Anolis sagrei: one gene and its partner. The protein of the gene in region 1 purifies or fractionates together with the protein of each later gene. This does not show direct contact. Links are inferred from orthologs where the notes say so. Each region holds a gene or a part of one and is shown on either strand. Other genes may lie near its edges.

Region 1 (8,551 bases):
AACACACCTGACAGCTTGCACTAGGCTGAGAAATACAAGACAATGTCTTTTTATATAGTATTGTAATGTAGTTTGCAGTGCATTATTTTATTTTTCTTACTGTCTATGTGCCTGTTTCACATATAATATATATGGATTATCCCCAAAATCTCAGTACATAGGAAAAAGTAACAAACTCAGATTATATTTTACATTATATTACATATTCTTAATAGTATATATATATATATAAAATATTGGAAGGGTTTTGTAATATTTTGTAATTAATATTATTTTGTTAATAAATGTAGCTACAATTTTCCATTTTCCCTATGTATGGCAACTTTTGGAGAAACCTGTATGTGTATACATGTATGTATGTATACATGTATATATAAGGCATGGGCCCTCCAGGTGTTTTGCACTTCAAATCTCAGAATTCCTAACAGCCAGAAGTACAAAACACTTGGATGCCCAATGTTTGCCCATGCCTGATATAAATATCAAAAGTCAACAAGTGTCTTTTGATATTTAATAACTCCTTTGTTTTATTTTGTTTTTAACTTGCAATACCATAGCATCATATTCATATGGGAAATTGTGTCAATTCACAAGGTGCCATGGGTCAGCTTCATATGGGCCTATTCAGACTGGAATGGAAGGACTGAAGAGGAGGGCTAATCTAATCTCTTTTGGGAGGGTATTCCAGAGCCAGGGGGCCACCACAGGGAAGGCCCTCTCTCTTATCCCCACTAACCATGCTTGAGATGAAGGTGAGACCAAGAGAAGGTCCTCCCATGTCAATCTCAGAGCCAGTGCTGGTTCATAGAAAGAGATGCTGTCACAAAGATAGGTTGAACCCAAAGCGTATAGGGCTTCTCAAACTCACAGCAACCCAATGATTCTTGCCACGAAAGCCTTTGACAACATAATGTTTAATACTGTTTTACTATTTATATATTTGAAGTGGTATTGTGAGCCGCTTTGAGTCTCTGCATGGTGAGAAAAAGCGGGATATAAACAAACATGGCAAAAGTATGATAGCTGGGACCCAATGCTGTTTGCGCGATGCAGGTCAGACTTAGAGAAGCGAAGATGTTAAGCATTTGAACGTGTTTGCATACGATGTCTATATAGCCTTAAGCACTATGCTTGGCTGTTTACTGACCCCCCCCCCCCTTTTCTGGTGAACTATGTTGCCACGACTGTCGTACCTGCATCTCTCACTTGCTGCGCTTTCTCGGCATTGGGTCCCAGCTATCATACTTTTGCCAAACATTAATTATTATTATTATTATTATTATTATTTGAAACACAACAAGACGAGTCCACAGCAAACAAGATCACTCTGCTGGCTGTTGTATTGGATCACACGTCAGACACTTCCCAAGTGTCTAGGACTGTGTGATGTATCGGTGACTTATACTCAAGTCAGTTATTAATTATTTTACTCTGTTGTTGTTATTATTATTATTATTACATTTATTGTTTTACCTTATTATTATTATTATTATTATTATTTGTAACACAACATGATGAGTCCACAGCAGACATCTGCTGGCTGTTGTATTGGATCACATGTTGGACACTTCCCAAGTGTCTAGGACTGTGTGATGTATCGGTGAATAATGCATGCAGATCCCAGTAAGGTGGCCTTTTGTAGCTGACAGATGGTAATTTTGTCAGCGCCAATTGTGTTTAAGTGCAGGTCAAGGTCTTTAGGCACTGCACCCAGTGTGCCAATCACCACTGGGACCACCTTGTGCCAGAGTCTTTGCAGTTCGATCTTTAAATCCTCATATCAGGTCAGCTTTTTCCAGTTTTCTATTATTAATAATAATAATAATATTTTACTGACATCACAGTATGTCACAGTAAACGAGATCTATATGCTGGATTTCATATCACAAAATCACAAGTCGAACACTTCCCAAGTGTCTAGGACTGTGTGATGTTTTAATGCTTATATTGTTTTGTTAATCTTATGGTTATGTCGTTTTACTTTGTATGTTTTGAGATGTTACCTGGGAGCTGCTCCGAGTCCCCTCGGGGAGATAGAGCAGTATATAAACAAAGTTTTATTATTATTATTATTATTATTATTATTATTATGTATTTTCAAATGATGCGTGCAGATCCAAGTAAGGTGGCCTTTTGCAATTGACAGATCGTGATTTTGTCAATGTTTATTGTTTACAAATGCCGGCTGAGATCTTTTGGCATGGCACCCAGCTATTATTATTATTATTATATATTAGATCCAAGTAAGGTGGCCTTTTGCAATTGACAGATCGTGATTTTGTCAATGTTTATTGTTTCCAAATGCCGGCTGAGATCTTTTGGCACGGCACCCAGCTATTATTATTATTATTATTATTATTATATATTAGATCCAAGTAAGGTGGCCTTTTGCAATTGACAGATCGTGATTTTGTCAATGTTTATTGTTTCCAAATGCCGGCTGAGATCCCAGTTATTATTATTATTATTATTATTATTATATTAGATCCAAGTAAGGTGGCCTTTTGCAATTGACAGATCGTGATTTTGTCAATGTTTATTGTTTCCAAATGCTGGCCGAGATCCCAATTATTATTATTATTATTATTATTATTATATATTAGATCCAAGTAAGGTGGCCTTTTGCAATTGACAGATCGTGATTTTGTCAATGTTTATTGTTTCTAAATGCCGGCTGAGATCTTTTGGCACGGCACCCAGTTATCATTATCATTATTATATATTTGGCAGGAGTGACACTTTTAAAATGTACCTGTTCCGACTTGCATCCAAATTTAACTTCAGAGCAAAGCTACAAAGCCTATCTTTTTGGTAACTTGGGGATTACAACCATATATAAAAGATGAAGGCATGGAAGAAGGAAGGGCTACCCACAGGCCAAAGAGCTGGGCCTGGACAGGAAGGATGAGGAGAAGGAAGGAAGGAAGGAAAGGGCAAAGATCACGCCTGTGGGGGAGGGGGCGCTATTCCGGGGGAGGGTCTCCCAGAGGGAGCTCCAAAATGGCGGCAGCTCCCTTCCTTGTCACACACACACAGCTCCCCTCAGTCCCTGAGAGGCGCAGGCCTTCCCTCCCTCTCTCTCCTTCCCCCCTTCCCTTCCCCTCCACCGCCAGCCCCTTTCCCCCTCTTTCTCTCTCTCTCTCTCACCGGGCTCGAGCCCCCTTCGTCCTGCCCCAGTCTTCTTCTTCTTCTTCTCTTGCGAAGGAAGGAAGGAAGAAGGAGGGAGGGAGGGGGGCGGCTCTTTCGCTGGCTCGCGCTCCACTTTTTTTTTTCCTCCCTTCACCGCCGCGATCCCACAATCCCCCGCGCGCGCGCGCCTCCCAGCGGCCGACTCGCCGTTTCCTCCTCCTCCTCCTCTTCGCGCTTCTTTCCCCTCAGGCTTGGCCCCGCCCCCTCCTCCTCCCCCTTTCTCCAATGCGATTGGCTCCCAACCTTTAAGACTTCAACTCCCAGAAGACCAAAGCGCTGAGGCAAAGGGTTGAGATATCTGGGAAATGTAGTAAAAAGAGTAGGAAGCGCAAACTGCGCATGCGTCATTCGGATTCCCTCACCCCCGCCGATTGAGGGACGAACGGGGATGAGTTGCGCATGCGCGGGCTTACTCTCTTCACCTTCCATTTTCTGTATTTAAGCCCACCCGCCAAAATACCTGGGAGTTACCCTAGACCAGGCATGGGCAAACCTCGCCCCTCCTGGTGTTTCGGACTTCAACTGTCACAATTCCTAACAATCTGTTTTGGACATATGACTCCCTAAAAGAAGAGGGAGACCAGTTGCGCATGCGCCGGACTCCCTTTCCTCAGCCTACCTCATTCCTAACTTAGGGGAATTAGCTGCGCATGCGTCGGACTCCCATTCTTCAACATCCCTCATTCCTGATTTAGGGGAATTACCTGCGCATGCGTCGGACTCCCTTTCCTCAGCCTCCCTCATTCCCGACTTAGGGGAATTAACTGCGCATGCGTGAGACTCCCTTTCTTCAGCATCCCTTATTCCTGATTTAGGGGAGGACTCCCTTTCCTCAGCCTCTTGTCATTCCTGACTTAGGGGAATTAGCTGCGCATGCGTCAGACTCCCATTCCTCAGCCTCCCTCCTTCCTGACTTCGAGGAATTAGCTGCGCATGCGTCAAATTCCCTTTCCTCATCCTCCCACATTCCTGACTTCGGGGAATTAGCTGCGCATGCGTCGGACTCCCTTTCCTCAGCCTCATTTCTGATTTGGGGGAATTAGCTGCGCATGCGTCGGAGCCCCCCCCCCCCCCGGTGGCGCAGTGGGTTAAGCCCCTGTGCCGGCAGGACTGAAGACTGACAGGTCGCAGGTTCGAATCCGGGGAGAGGCGGATGAGCTCCCTCTATCAGCTCCAGCTCCTCATGCGGGGACATGAGAGAAGCCTCCCACAAGGATGATAAAAACATCAAATCAATCCAGGCGTCCCCAGGGCAAGGTCCTTGTGGACGGCCAATTCTCTCACACCAGAAGCGACTTGCAGTTTCTCAGGTCGCTCCTGACACGACAAAAAATATATCCTGACTTAGGGGAATTAGCTGCGCATGCGTCAGACTCCCTTTCCTCAGACTCCCTTTCCTCAGACTCCCTCATTCCTGATTTAGGGGAATTAGCTGCGCATGCGTCGGACTCCCTTTCCTCAGACTCCCTCATTCCTGACTTAGGGGAATTAGCTGCGCATGCGTCAGACTCCCTTTCCTCAGCCTCATTTCTGATTTAGGGAATTAGTTGCGCATGCGTCGGACTCCTGGTAGAGGACTGGAAGTCCGGCGCATGCGCAACGAATTCCTCTAAGTCAGGAATGAGGGAGGCTTAGGAATGGGAGTCCGACGGGAATCAGCCTCCCTCCGACTTAGGGGAATTAGTTGCGCATGCGTCGGGCTCCCTCTCTCCATTTTCAGAATTCTCGCTTGGCTTCTCCTTGGTTCATCCTTCTCCTCCTTTTCCCCCAAAGGCCAGTGGTTCTACAGGACATTGAACTCCAGTTTCCAAGAGTACCACCAGCCAGCAGGACCAAATTTTAGGAATTCTGGGAATTGAAGTAAAGACTAGGGAGAGCATCTGCGCATGCGTCGAATTCCTTCTCGTCTTTCCTTCTTCCCGCCGATGGAGGGACTAAGAAAATCTGTTGCGCATGCGCTGGGCCTATCTTCTTGGCCTAGCTCATTTTTAGGTGGATTTTGAGCGCTTGCTTGCGTACTTTCCCTGGATTCAAAGCAGGTTGAATTCATTAGGAGGGAACTATCAGTTATCCTGCAGATAAAGTAGAAAAATAGCGCTGTAACAGTGTGTCTTCTAGCTCTGTAGCCTTTATCAATCACAAAGCCCCATAAAATCCAATGCAGCTCCTCTTGGTTTCACATTTAGAAAAGTTGTAGTTCAAATCACTCAGGATAGTCTCAGAGTATTATTGCTTGTTGAAATGTAGGCCCTTCCACACAGCCATTGTGTATTTGTTCAATAATTTCTGGCTCTTCATGACTTCATAGAGAATCATAGAGTTGGAAGAGACCTCATGGGCCATCCAGTCCAACCCCCTGCTAAGAAGCAGGAAAATTGCATTCAAAGCACCCCGACAGATGGCCATCCAGCCTCTGCTTAAAAGCCTCCCAAGAAGGAGCCTCCTCCACACTCTGGGGCAGAGAGTTCCATTTCTGAACAGCTCTCACAGTTAGGAAGTTCTTCCTAATGTTCAGGTGGAATCTCTTTTCGGTACTTTGAAGCCATTGTTCTGCGTCCTAGTCTCCAGGGAAGCAGAAAACAAGTTTGCTCCCTCCTTCCTATGACTTGCTCTCACTTATTTATACATGGCTATCATGTATCACCGGAGCCCCGGTGGCGCAGTGGGTTAAAGCACTGAGCTGCTAAACTTGTTGACCGAAAGGTTGCAGGTTCGAATCCGGGGAGCGGTGTAAGCTTCCGCTGTCAGCCCCAGCTTCTGCCAACCTAGCAGTTCGAAAACATGCAAATGTGAGTAGATCAATAGGTACCGCCCCGGCGGGAAGGTAACAGCGCTCCATGCAGTCATGCTGGCCACATGACCTTGGAGGTGTCTACGGACGACGTTGGCTCTTCGGCTTAGAAATGGAGATGAGCACCACACCCCAGAGTCGGACACGACTGGACTTAATGTCAGGGGACAACCTTTACCTTTACCTTTATCATGTATAAGGACCAATTAGCAACAGTAAGAACTGACCATGGAACAACAGACTGGTTCAAGATTGGGCAAGTCCAGAGTCGGACACGACTGGACTTAATGTCAGGGGACAACCTTTACCTTTATCATGTATAAGGACCAATTAGCAACAGTAAGAACTGACCATGGAACAACAGACTGGTTCAAGATTGGGAAAGGTGTATGGCAGGGTTGTATACTCTCCTCCAACCTATTCAACTTGTATGCAGAACACATCATGCGATGTGCGGGGCTTGACGAATGCAAGGCTGGGATTAAAATTGCTGGAAGAAACATTAACAACCTTAGATATGCAGATGACACCACTTTGATGGTCAAAAGCGAGGAGGAACTGAGGAGCCTTTTAATCAAGGTGAAAGAAGAAAATGCAAAAGCTGGGTTGCAGCTAAACATTTAAAAAAAAAAACAAGATTATAGCAACAAGAATGATTAACAACTGGGAAATAGAGGGAGAAAATGTGACAGTGACAGACCAAGGGCAAGATGGATAGATGGCATCCTTGAAGTGACTGGACTGACCTTGAAGAATTTGGGGGTGGTGACGGCTGACAGGGAGCTCTGGCGTGGGCTGGTCCATGAGGTCACAAAGAGTCAGAAACGACTGAACAAACAACAATCATGTCTCCTCCCAGCCCATACCAAAGCTCCCTGTTGGCTGTGGCCACCCCCAGTTCCTTCAAAGTAAAGCCAGTCACTTCAAGGATACCATCCATCCATCTTACCCTTGGTGGCCTGTCATCCTTTTTCCTCTCATTTTCCTCAGCATCATTATCTTCTCCAAGCTTTCTTGTCTTCTCATTATGTGGCCAAAGTACTTCAACTTTGCCTCTAATATCCTTCCCTCCAGTGAGCAGCCGGGCATTATTTCCTGGAGGGTGGACTCGTTTGATCTTCTCACGGTCCTAGGCACTCTCAGGACTTTCCTCCAGCACCACAGTTCAAAAGCCTCTATTGTCCTTTACTCAGCCTTCCCTATGGTCCAGCTCTCACATCCATAGGTTACTACATGGAATACCATTGCTTTGACTATGCAGATCTTCGTTGTCAGTGTGATGTCTCTACTCTTCACTATTTTATCGAGATTGGACATTGCTCTCCTCCCAAGAAGTAAACGTCTTCTGATTTCCTGGCTGCAGTCTGCGTCTGCAGTAATCTTTGCACCTAGAAATATAGTCTGCCACTGCCTCCACATTTACTCCCTGTTTTACAGTTGTCAAATCAATCTAATTGCCATCATCTTGGGTTATTTTATGTTTAACTGCAACCCAGCTTTTGCACTTTATTCTTTCACCTTGATTAGAAAGCGAGGAGGAGTTCGGCTTCGCCTCGCTTTCAGCCATTAAAGTGGTATCATCTGCATATCTAAGGTTGTTAATATTCACCCAGCAATTTTAACTTCCATCCTTGGATTTGTCAAGCCCTGCATGTTGCATGATGCGTTCTGCATACAAGTTGAATAGGTTGGGTGAGAGTATACAGCCCTGCCATATTCCTTTCCCAATCTTGAAACAGTTAGTTGTTCTGTAGTTTGTTCTTGCTGTTGCAACCTGGTCAAAGGACATTTAATCAACTACCAAGTTTGCAAACTTTGTGGGTTTTTTTAACCTGTTTGTTTGTTTTGTTCTATTAAAAATGTAATACAATAGTCTGGTTGCCCCTGACACGATAAATAAATACCAACTATGTTGAATTGGTTGAGAGTTGACGAGGCTCCTCCCTAAACTACAAACCCTAGAATTCTGCAGGAGGCAGAAACCAGATTTTAAGCGGATTTTTTCTCTAGTGTGATGAGGCCCTTAGGCTATATGTAATAGATAGGTAGTTAGATAAATAGATAGATGGAGGGCCTTCTGTGCAGATTCTTTGTCAATGGATTCACCATAAGGCTAATGTGGCTTCAATTAAAATTAGGCCCCTTCTGCCATATAACCCAGAATATAAAGGCAGATAACCCACAATATCTGTTTTGAACTGGGATATGTGGCAGTGTGGACTCAGATATTCCAGTTCAAAACAGATATTGTGGGTTATTCTGCCTCGATACTCCGGATTGCTGCATGGAAGGGTCCTGGGTTATTTTAGGCCCCTTCCACACCGCTGAATAAAATCCCACATCTGCTTTTGAACTGGGTTATATGCAGTGTGACTCAGGGCCCTTCCAGACAGGTCCTATATCCTAGGATCTGATCCCAGGTTTTCTGTTCATTCCAGATTATCTGGCAGTGGGATCAGATACTGGGATATAGGGGGTGTGGAGGAGCCCTCAGGTATCCCAGTTGTGAATTATTTGGCTTGATACTCTGGGTTATACGGCTGTGTAGAAGGACCCCGAATCCATAAAATA
Region 2 (7,829 bases), on another chromosome or scaffold:
CATATACATCATGGGAAAATGATTTGTCTATAAAAAGGACTCTTATATAGAAGAAGGTATTTTGGGAAATGACAGACTTGGTTCATTTTGGCATGTGTAAATAAGGGAATACAAAAGAGGAAGCCCCTCAATCTGGAGGGAGAGGCAGAGCGAGGTGCAGCACTAGACAGTGCCCAAGAAATAGTGTTGCCACTTGGATCCCAAGCCTGCCTTTAAGACAGATAGAGGAATTGTACCGAATTTTCCTTTCACAACAGAGGAGCGGAGAGGAGAAACGACCTCTGGAGAAAAAAAATCTTCCTTGCTCCACTTCCTGGAGAAGAGAGCATGCATCTACATTGCAGAATTAATGCCATTTGACACCACTTGAACTGCCATGGCTCAATGCTATGGAAGGATGTTACACTGAGGAGGGGGCAAGCTTGTTTTCTGCATATCTGGAGACTAGGACACAGAGCAGTGGATTCAAATTGTGGGAAAAATTATTCCACCTGAACATTTGGAAGAACTTCCTGAAGGTAAGAGCAGTGGAATGTGCTACCTCAGAGTGTGGTGCAGTCTCCTTCTCTGGATGTTTTTAAGCAGAGGTTGTATGGCCATCTGTTGGGGGTGCTTTGATTATGTGCATGGCAGAATGGGATTGGACTGGATGATGAGTTACTGTGAGTTTTGCAGATAACTACAGCTTGTAGAATTACAAAGTAGGAAAGATTGCAAAAATCATCCAATCCTGGGCTGATGTGAGTTATCCGGGCTGCATGGCCATGTTCCAGAAGCATTCATAGAATTATAGAGCTGGAAGAGACCTTGTGGGCCATCCAGTCCAACCCCCTGCCAAGAAGCAGGAAAACTGCATTCAAAGCACCCCCAATGGTCATTCTCGCCTGACGTTTCACCCACATCTACAGCAGCACCTTCAGAGGTTCTGAGGTATATTGGAACTAAGTGAGAGAGGTTTATATATCTGTGGAAGATCCAGAGATGGAGAAAGAACTCTTGTATGTTGGAGGCAAGTGTGAATGGTGCAATTAATCACCTTGACTAGCATTGAAAAGCCTTGCAGCTTCAAAGCCTGGCTGCTTCCTGCCTGGGGGAATCCTTAGTTGAGAGGCCTGATTTTTCTTGTCTGGAATTCCTGTGTTTTCAAAGTGTTTTTCTTTATTTGCTGATGTGATTTTAGAGTTTTTTTAAAAATACTGATAGCCAGATTTTGTTCATTTTCATTGTTTCCTTCATCCAGTCCGTTGTAGGAACCACTGAGTTGCTATCAGTTTGTCAAGCTTATGGCCATGCTCCAGCAGCATTCTCTCCTGACGTTCCGCTGCATCTTCAGATGAGCCTCTGAAGATATCAGCCACATCTGAAGGTTCGTCTGAAGATGCCAGCCACAGATGCAGGTGAAACTTCAGGAGAGAATGCTGCTGGAGCATGGCCATAAGCCTGAAAAACTGATAGCAACTTAGTGATTCCTACAATCACGGAGGAGAGGATGCTGCTGGAGAGGATGCTGCAGGAACATGGCCATACAGCCTGAAAAACTCACAGCAACCCAGTGATTCCCAGAACGGATTGGATGACCTTTGTGGTTTTTCCAACTCTGTAATTCTTTTTTTTCCCTCCATGTCAGGAGAAACTTGAGAAACTGCAAGTCACTTCTGGTATGAGATAATTGGCCATCTGCAAGGACATTCCCAGGAGACACACGGATGTTTTTGATGTTTTACCCTCCTTGTGGGAGACTTCTCTCATGTCCATGCATGGGAAGCTGAAGCTGACAGAGGGCGCTCCCCGGATTCAGCTAGCACAAGGGTTTAACCCATTGCACCATGGGGAATCCTGTGATTATGTATTGTTGAAGGCTTTCATGGCAGGAATCACTGGGTTGTTGCAGGTTTTTTAGGCTGTATGGCCATGTTCTCTTCTGACGTTTCGCCTGCATCTGTGGCAAGCATCTTCAGAGCCTCAGCTTAAGCGGCTGAGGGGGGGAAGGAAGGGGCCTGAGGCTCTGATGATGCTTGCCACAGATGCAGGCGAAACGTCAGGAGAGAATGCCTCTAGAATATGGCCATACAGCCCAAAAAAAATCTACAACCTAGATTCCGTGATTCTTTAAATAATCCAAAGGATACTAGTTGTTGGAAATTACAACCTCTAGTAATTTGATCTCTAAAAGATCATGCTTTCCTAAAACTGGTGCCTTTCCAAACTACAACTCCGGGGATGACATAGCATGGGGCCAGTGAAGTTCAAGCGGTGTCCAACTGCATTAGTTCGACAGTGCAGACGCGCCCTGAGGCGGCGGCGGTGGCGGCGACGAGGCTCCCTCCCCGAATGCGGCCTTGGCATCATGGCCGGGGGAGGGGGCGCCGTGGAAGGCAACCCGGCAAGGACTGGAAAAGAAGGAAGGAAGGAAGGAAGGAAGGAAGGAAGAAAGGAAGAGCAAGAGAAGGGACGCCGCGTTCTCCCTGGGGCGCCAGGGCTCAATGCTATGGAATCCTGGGAGCTGTGGCTTTTTGTTGACGCGCTTTCATCCCTCTTGGGCTGAAGGCCTTGCAAAGTGGGTCCGCTAGCCTCGAGCCATGGCCGCGAGAGCGGGGCCAAACTGCGTCCATCCACAGTGAGGAGAGGAGGAGGAGGAGGGAGGCCTGCCTGCCTGCCGCGCTGCTGCGCCTCCTTGGGCGGGAAAGGCGGGCGTTGCCGAGGCCCGCCTTCCTCCTCCTCTCCTTCTCCTGGCTTCCCCCACTGAGGAGGGGGTTCCTCTGGGGCGGCGGGGCCAAGGAGGCTGGGGGAGGCGGGGAGGGGAGTTTCCCGCCGAGCGAGGAAGGGGCGGCTCCGGACTAGGCCGCGCATCCCCAGGCTCGCGTGGCGGGCGCGGCCGGGAGGGAGGGGGAGGCCTCGGCGTTCCCGCGGGATACCTGGTCCGTGATGCTGAGGATCCCCATCTCCGGGCGGGGCCGCCCCCACCTCGCTCAGCAGCAGCAGGAGCGCCGCCACCGCCGCCTCCGCGCTCCCGGCATCGATGGCGCTTCAGTGGCCGCCGCGGCACGCAGGCAAGCAAGCAGGCAGGCTCCCGGAGAGGCAGCGCCGAGGCAGGAGCAGCAGCAGAGGGAGGAGGAGGAGGAGGAGGAGGAGGAGGAGGAGGAGGAGGGACTGAGCCCGCCCTCCCTTCGCAGGAAGGCAGGCAGGCAGGCGGGCGAGAAAGAGAGCAGGCCCCGCCGGGAGAGCGCCCCTAGCGGGCCGGCCCCGCCACTGCAGGCCCCGGAGCAGAAGGAGGCAGGCGAGTCTGAGCTCACGGCCCTCGGAGAACAGCCATTGTGCGCATGCGCTGACCCGGCAAATCTGTGTATTGTGCTCCTTCCAGCAGATGATGCCACTTTGATGCTCGAAAGCGAGGAGGAGCTGAGCAGCCTTCTTGTTAAATTGCATACACTTGGCAAGTTGCATACACAAGGTGAAAGAAGAATGTGCAAAGGCTGGGTCGCAGTTAAACATCAAAAAAACCAAGATTCTGGCAACCAGACTGATTGATAACTGGCAAGCAGAAGGAGAAAACGTGCAGGCAGTGACAGACTTTGTATTTCTAGGAGCAAAGATAACTGCAGATGCAGACCTCAGCCAGGAAATCAGAAGACGTTTGCTTCTTGGGAGGAGAGCAATGCCCAATCTTGATAAAATAGTGAAGAGTAGAGACATCACACTGGCAACAAAGATCCGCATAGTTAAAGCAATGGTATTCCCAGAGGCAGCCCTAGGTAATTTTCAACGTAAGCAAACAATATTTTGGTCCCCCCACCCCAACCAATCACTGATCTATATTTTCTGTTCGTTGTGGGAGTTCTGTGTGCCATATTTGGTTCAATTCTATCATTGGTGGAGTTCAGAATGCTCTTTGATTTTAGGTGAACTATAAATCCCAGTAACTACAACCGAACTCACATATGTCAAGGTCTATTTTCCCCCAAGAGCGCCTCAAGAGCGCCCCTGGCCAAAATCAACTATACTGCGAATGCTTACTTTGTGTAATGGGTTGAGCCGCCCCTGGGTATTCCCCATAGAAACCTATGGATGTGAGAGCTGGGCCATAAGGAAGATAGACACTGTTGAACTGTTGTGTTGGAGGAAAATTGAGAGAGTGCTTTGGACCATAAGAAGTCCATACTCCAGGAAATAATACCCAGCTGCTCACTGTAGGGAAGGGTAGTAGAGACAAAGATGAAGTACTTTGGCCACATCCTGAAGACAGGAAAGCTTGGAGAAGATCATGATGCTGGGGAAAATGGAAGGAAAAAGGAAGAGGGGCCAACCAAGGGCAAGATGGGTAGATGGCATCCTTGAAGGGACTGGCTGGACCCTGAAGGAGCTGGGGATGGTGACAGCTGACAGAGAGCTCTGGCGTGGGCTGGCCCATGAGGTCACGAAGAGTCAGAAGCAACTGAACAAATGAACAACAACAAAGAGACATCACCCTGGCAACGAAGATCCATATAGTTAAAGCAATGGTATTCTCCATAGTCACCTACGGATGTGAGAGCTGGGCCATAAGGAAGGCTGAGCGAAGGAAGATAGATGCTTTTGAACTGTGGTGCTAGAGGAAAATTATGAGAGTGCTTTGGACCATAAGAAGTCCATACTCCAGGAAATAATACCCAGCTGTTCACTGTAGGGAAGGATATTAGAGGCAAAGAAGAAGTACTTTGGTCACATCATGAGAAGACAGGAAAGCTTGGAGAAGATAATGATGCTGGGAAAAATGGAAGGAAAAAAGAAGAGGTACCGACCAAGGGCAAGATGGATGGATAGTACCTTTGAAGTGACTGGCTGGACCTTGAAGGAGCTGGGGGAGGTGTCACGAAGAGTTGGAAGGGAATGAATGAATGAATCAACAACAAAATAGCAGTGACTATAATCCCAACTCAGGAATGGAAAACAGAATGTTGGTGGTCTTCTTCTTCTTCTTTGCAATTCCTTCCCTCCTCCCTAACCCTTAACAGCCTATAAATCTATAATCTATTTAATTTCTTTTCTTTTTCTTTCTTCTTTTGTAACTCCCTCCCCCAATTATCTTAATATGGGTCTATTAAGATGGGTCTATACTACCATATAAAATGGTTTCGAACTGCATTATATAGCAGTGTAGATGGAGCCTAATCAACAGTCACATCCCAAGGTTTTGTGTGCCTAACCAGATGAGGTCCTAATGTTCAGTTCAAGAGTGAATACTTGAGACATAGGCCTGAAAGCAATAAACAACAATATAGGGCTATTAATATTGTCTGCTATTACCCATGTTAAAGACAAACTTTGAGTACACATTCACAGGATTAGGCTGTACAGACTACACTGTATACTGTGAAGAAGAAAATATATCTTTACAAATTGAAAGCTGGCATCACAGTTGTATTTGGCTGGCAATGTATGATACAATGTCTGATATAATGCTATGGAAGTGGGAAATTATGAGAAAGGTTTTATAAGGCTCGGTGTTTCATTTCAAAGGGGAAAGTGATTGTTTTACCCAGTATTACTCAAAATGGTAGTATGGGGCAAAGTGCCAATCTGCAAGCCATCATCTCCCGTACCACTGCAAGTTTTCCTGGAACAAAAGGAGAAAGAGAGCTGTAACCAATGAACACAAATATGTTGCTGAATCCTGAAACACGTGGGGGGTGTTGCTATTCCCCCACATCAGGAAGCCCCTAACTCCAATGAAGGTGAAGGGCTGACTGCACCATGTTGAAACTTGAATATCTTCCAAGAAAATGTATGCATTACATAATTTTATTGCAGGGAAAGATGCTCTTCTCTGTTGTATTTATCTTTCACATACTGTATAAACATCGGTGGGAAGAGCCCACCAACCAAGACATTTTAAGAGGATGCTATTGATATTCTGCCCATGTTTTATTGCAGGAGAGGGCAGCTCTGGAAGGTGATGGTGGGTACATTAACCCCCTATGAGGCCTTGGATGGCTGTCCATGAAAAGCCACATTAGAGATGGGTGAACTCAGTCAAGAAAGCCATGGCCCTGAGTCTGAAAATCTGAGCAGGGATGTTGATGTCCATCTGCACTTTGTTTGACACCACTTTAACAGCCTTGATAGAGCCCCTGGTGGCGCAGTGGGTTAAACCCTTGTGCCAGCAGGACTGAAGACCGACAGGTCAGAGATTCAAATCCAGGAAGAGTGTGGATGAGTCCCTCTATCAGCTCCAGCTCTCCATGCGGGGACACGAGAGAAGCCTCCCACAAGGGTGGTAAAACATCAAAACATCCGGGTGTCCCTTGGGCAATGTCCTTGCAGACGGCCAATTCTCTCACACTAGAAGCGGCTTGCAGTTTCTCAAATCAGACCTGACACGGCAAAACAAAAACAAAAACAAAAAAAACCCATCATTAGTTGACTGCTATGGGATCCTGGGAGTTGGAGTTTGGTGAGGCAACAGCACTCTGGCAGAGAAGGCTAAAGACCTTGTGAAATCACAACTCTCATGATGCCCTATCCTTGAGCCAGGGTAGTTAAAGTGGTATCAAATTGCATTAATTGTACAATGTGGATGTAGAGGACTCTCATTCATTGGGTCATTTACAACAACAACAACAACGAGGTGTTTTTTCAGCTCAGACTCAAGCTTTCAATAATTTACATGTGTTTATTACACCTTTCTATTTGGCAACAAAGTACCCATCCTCAAATACATGTGTTGCCTTTACAAGATGTGTTCCTGAAGTTACCTTTATTGCAGAGACCCAGTAGAGGGTGCTATACCTCTCCATTGGCATTCTCCGCTCCTCATTGAGAACTCCACTGTACTGCAAACAATAGATTGAAGGTTGCCAGCTTTCGCTTTCATATTATCCAGATATTAGCAGTGGTGTTTACCTTGATGCTGTGGAAAGCTTCGTATATCGTTTTTGGGATTAAGATACTATTCAATTAATATGGGAAGGCTAAGCTTTCCATGGCTAACTCTAGCATTAAATTATATTAGAGAAGGCCTTTTTGAAGAAAGACAAAAGAGCTGAAGCACAGTTGGCTGAGCAATTTGACCATATCCTTGTGAGATGGGGTGAGGCCTGCTTTGTGAAATGGGAGCAAGACTATCTCCAGCATTAGTCACAAAGAGGCAAGCCTCATATATCAGATGCTGTGAATCCCTATTGTCAAGGGAAAGGCAGGATAAAAAAATAAAATAAATTAATAAAGATTTGGGCAACCTCAGCGGGACAGATCCCATATTCCTTCTGTGCTTATTTTGTTCAATATTGAAGTAGAGTAGCCCTCTGTATCTGTTGGAATTTAGTTCCAGGCACGTCTCCCCCCCCCCCCCCCCCGTGAATACCAAAATCCATGGATGCTCAGGTGTCCTTACATACAATGATGTAGTAGAATAACACAACTTATTTAAACTGGAGACCAACTCTGATGAATGTCAGAGAGAACCTATGGATCTGTGAAATGGCAGGAAGTAATAGCAAACTATGTCTACATATCAGGAGGCAGAAAAATCAAAGTTTGTTTTTGGGAATTTCCCCCAAACTCTTTACCACTGCCTTTCAGTAAGAACAAAACCCTTCCTATAATATAAAGCATCTTAAAACCAGACATAAAGTATCTAGAATATGAAATGAGCCAGCTCAGAGCAAAGGGTGTTTTCCTAAAGATTATGTCATTAGCTGACTGTAAATCTGGCTTAGGTTGCCATGCTGTCTGAGAGGTTCTGAAAGCATTAATACAAAAAGTAGTATTTCTAAGCTCTACAGTAAGACTGTGAGGCTCAGATAAGTTACAATTACACAGCAGAATATATACATACTGCACAATGCAGAAAT

Evidence for each region. The genes of interacting proteins can lie anywhere in the genome.
Region 2: the proteins of PPP6R1 (region 1) and ANKRD52 purify together in Homo sapiens (co-immunoprecipitation; 3 studies listed by BioGRID and IntAct, with this or other methods). This does not show direct contact. The link is inferred for Anolis sagrei from reciprocal best matches to the Homo sapiens genes PPP6R1 and ANKRD52.

The regions. Positions count from the first base shown.
Region 1 is NC_090026.1:20,852,255-20,860,805, reverse strand, and holds the start of PPP6R1 (serine/threonine-protein phosphatase 6 regulatory subunit 1), read right to left. Parts: upstream 3,342-8,551; 5' UTR 3,148-3,341; intron 1-3,147. UniProt on the Homo sapiens protein: Regulatory subunit of protein phosphatase 6 (PP6). May function as a scaffolding PP6 subunit. Involved in the PP6-mediated dephosphorylation of NFKBIE opposing its degradation in response to TNF-alpha.
Region 2 is NC_090022.1:138,443,893-138,451,721, reverse strand, and holds the start of ANKRD52 (serine/threonine-protein phosphatase 6 regulatory ankyrin repeat subunit C), read right to left. Parts: upstream 3,123-7,829; 5' UTR 2,943-3,122; coding exon 2,916-2,942; intron 1-2,915. UniProt on the Homo sapiens protein: Putative regulatory subunit of protein phosphatase 6 (PP6) that may be involved in the recognition of phosphoprotein substrates.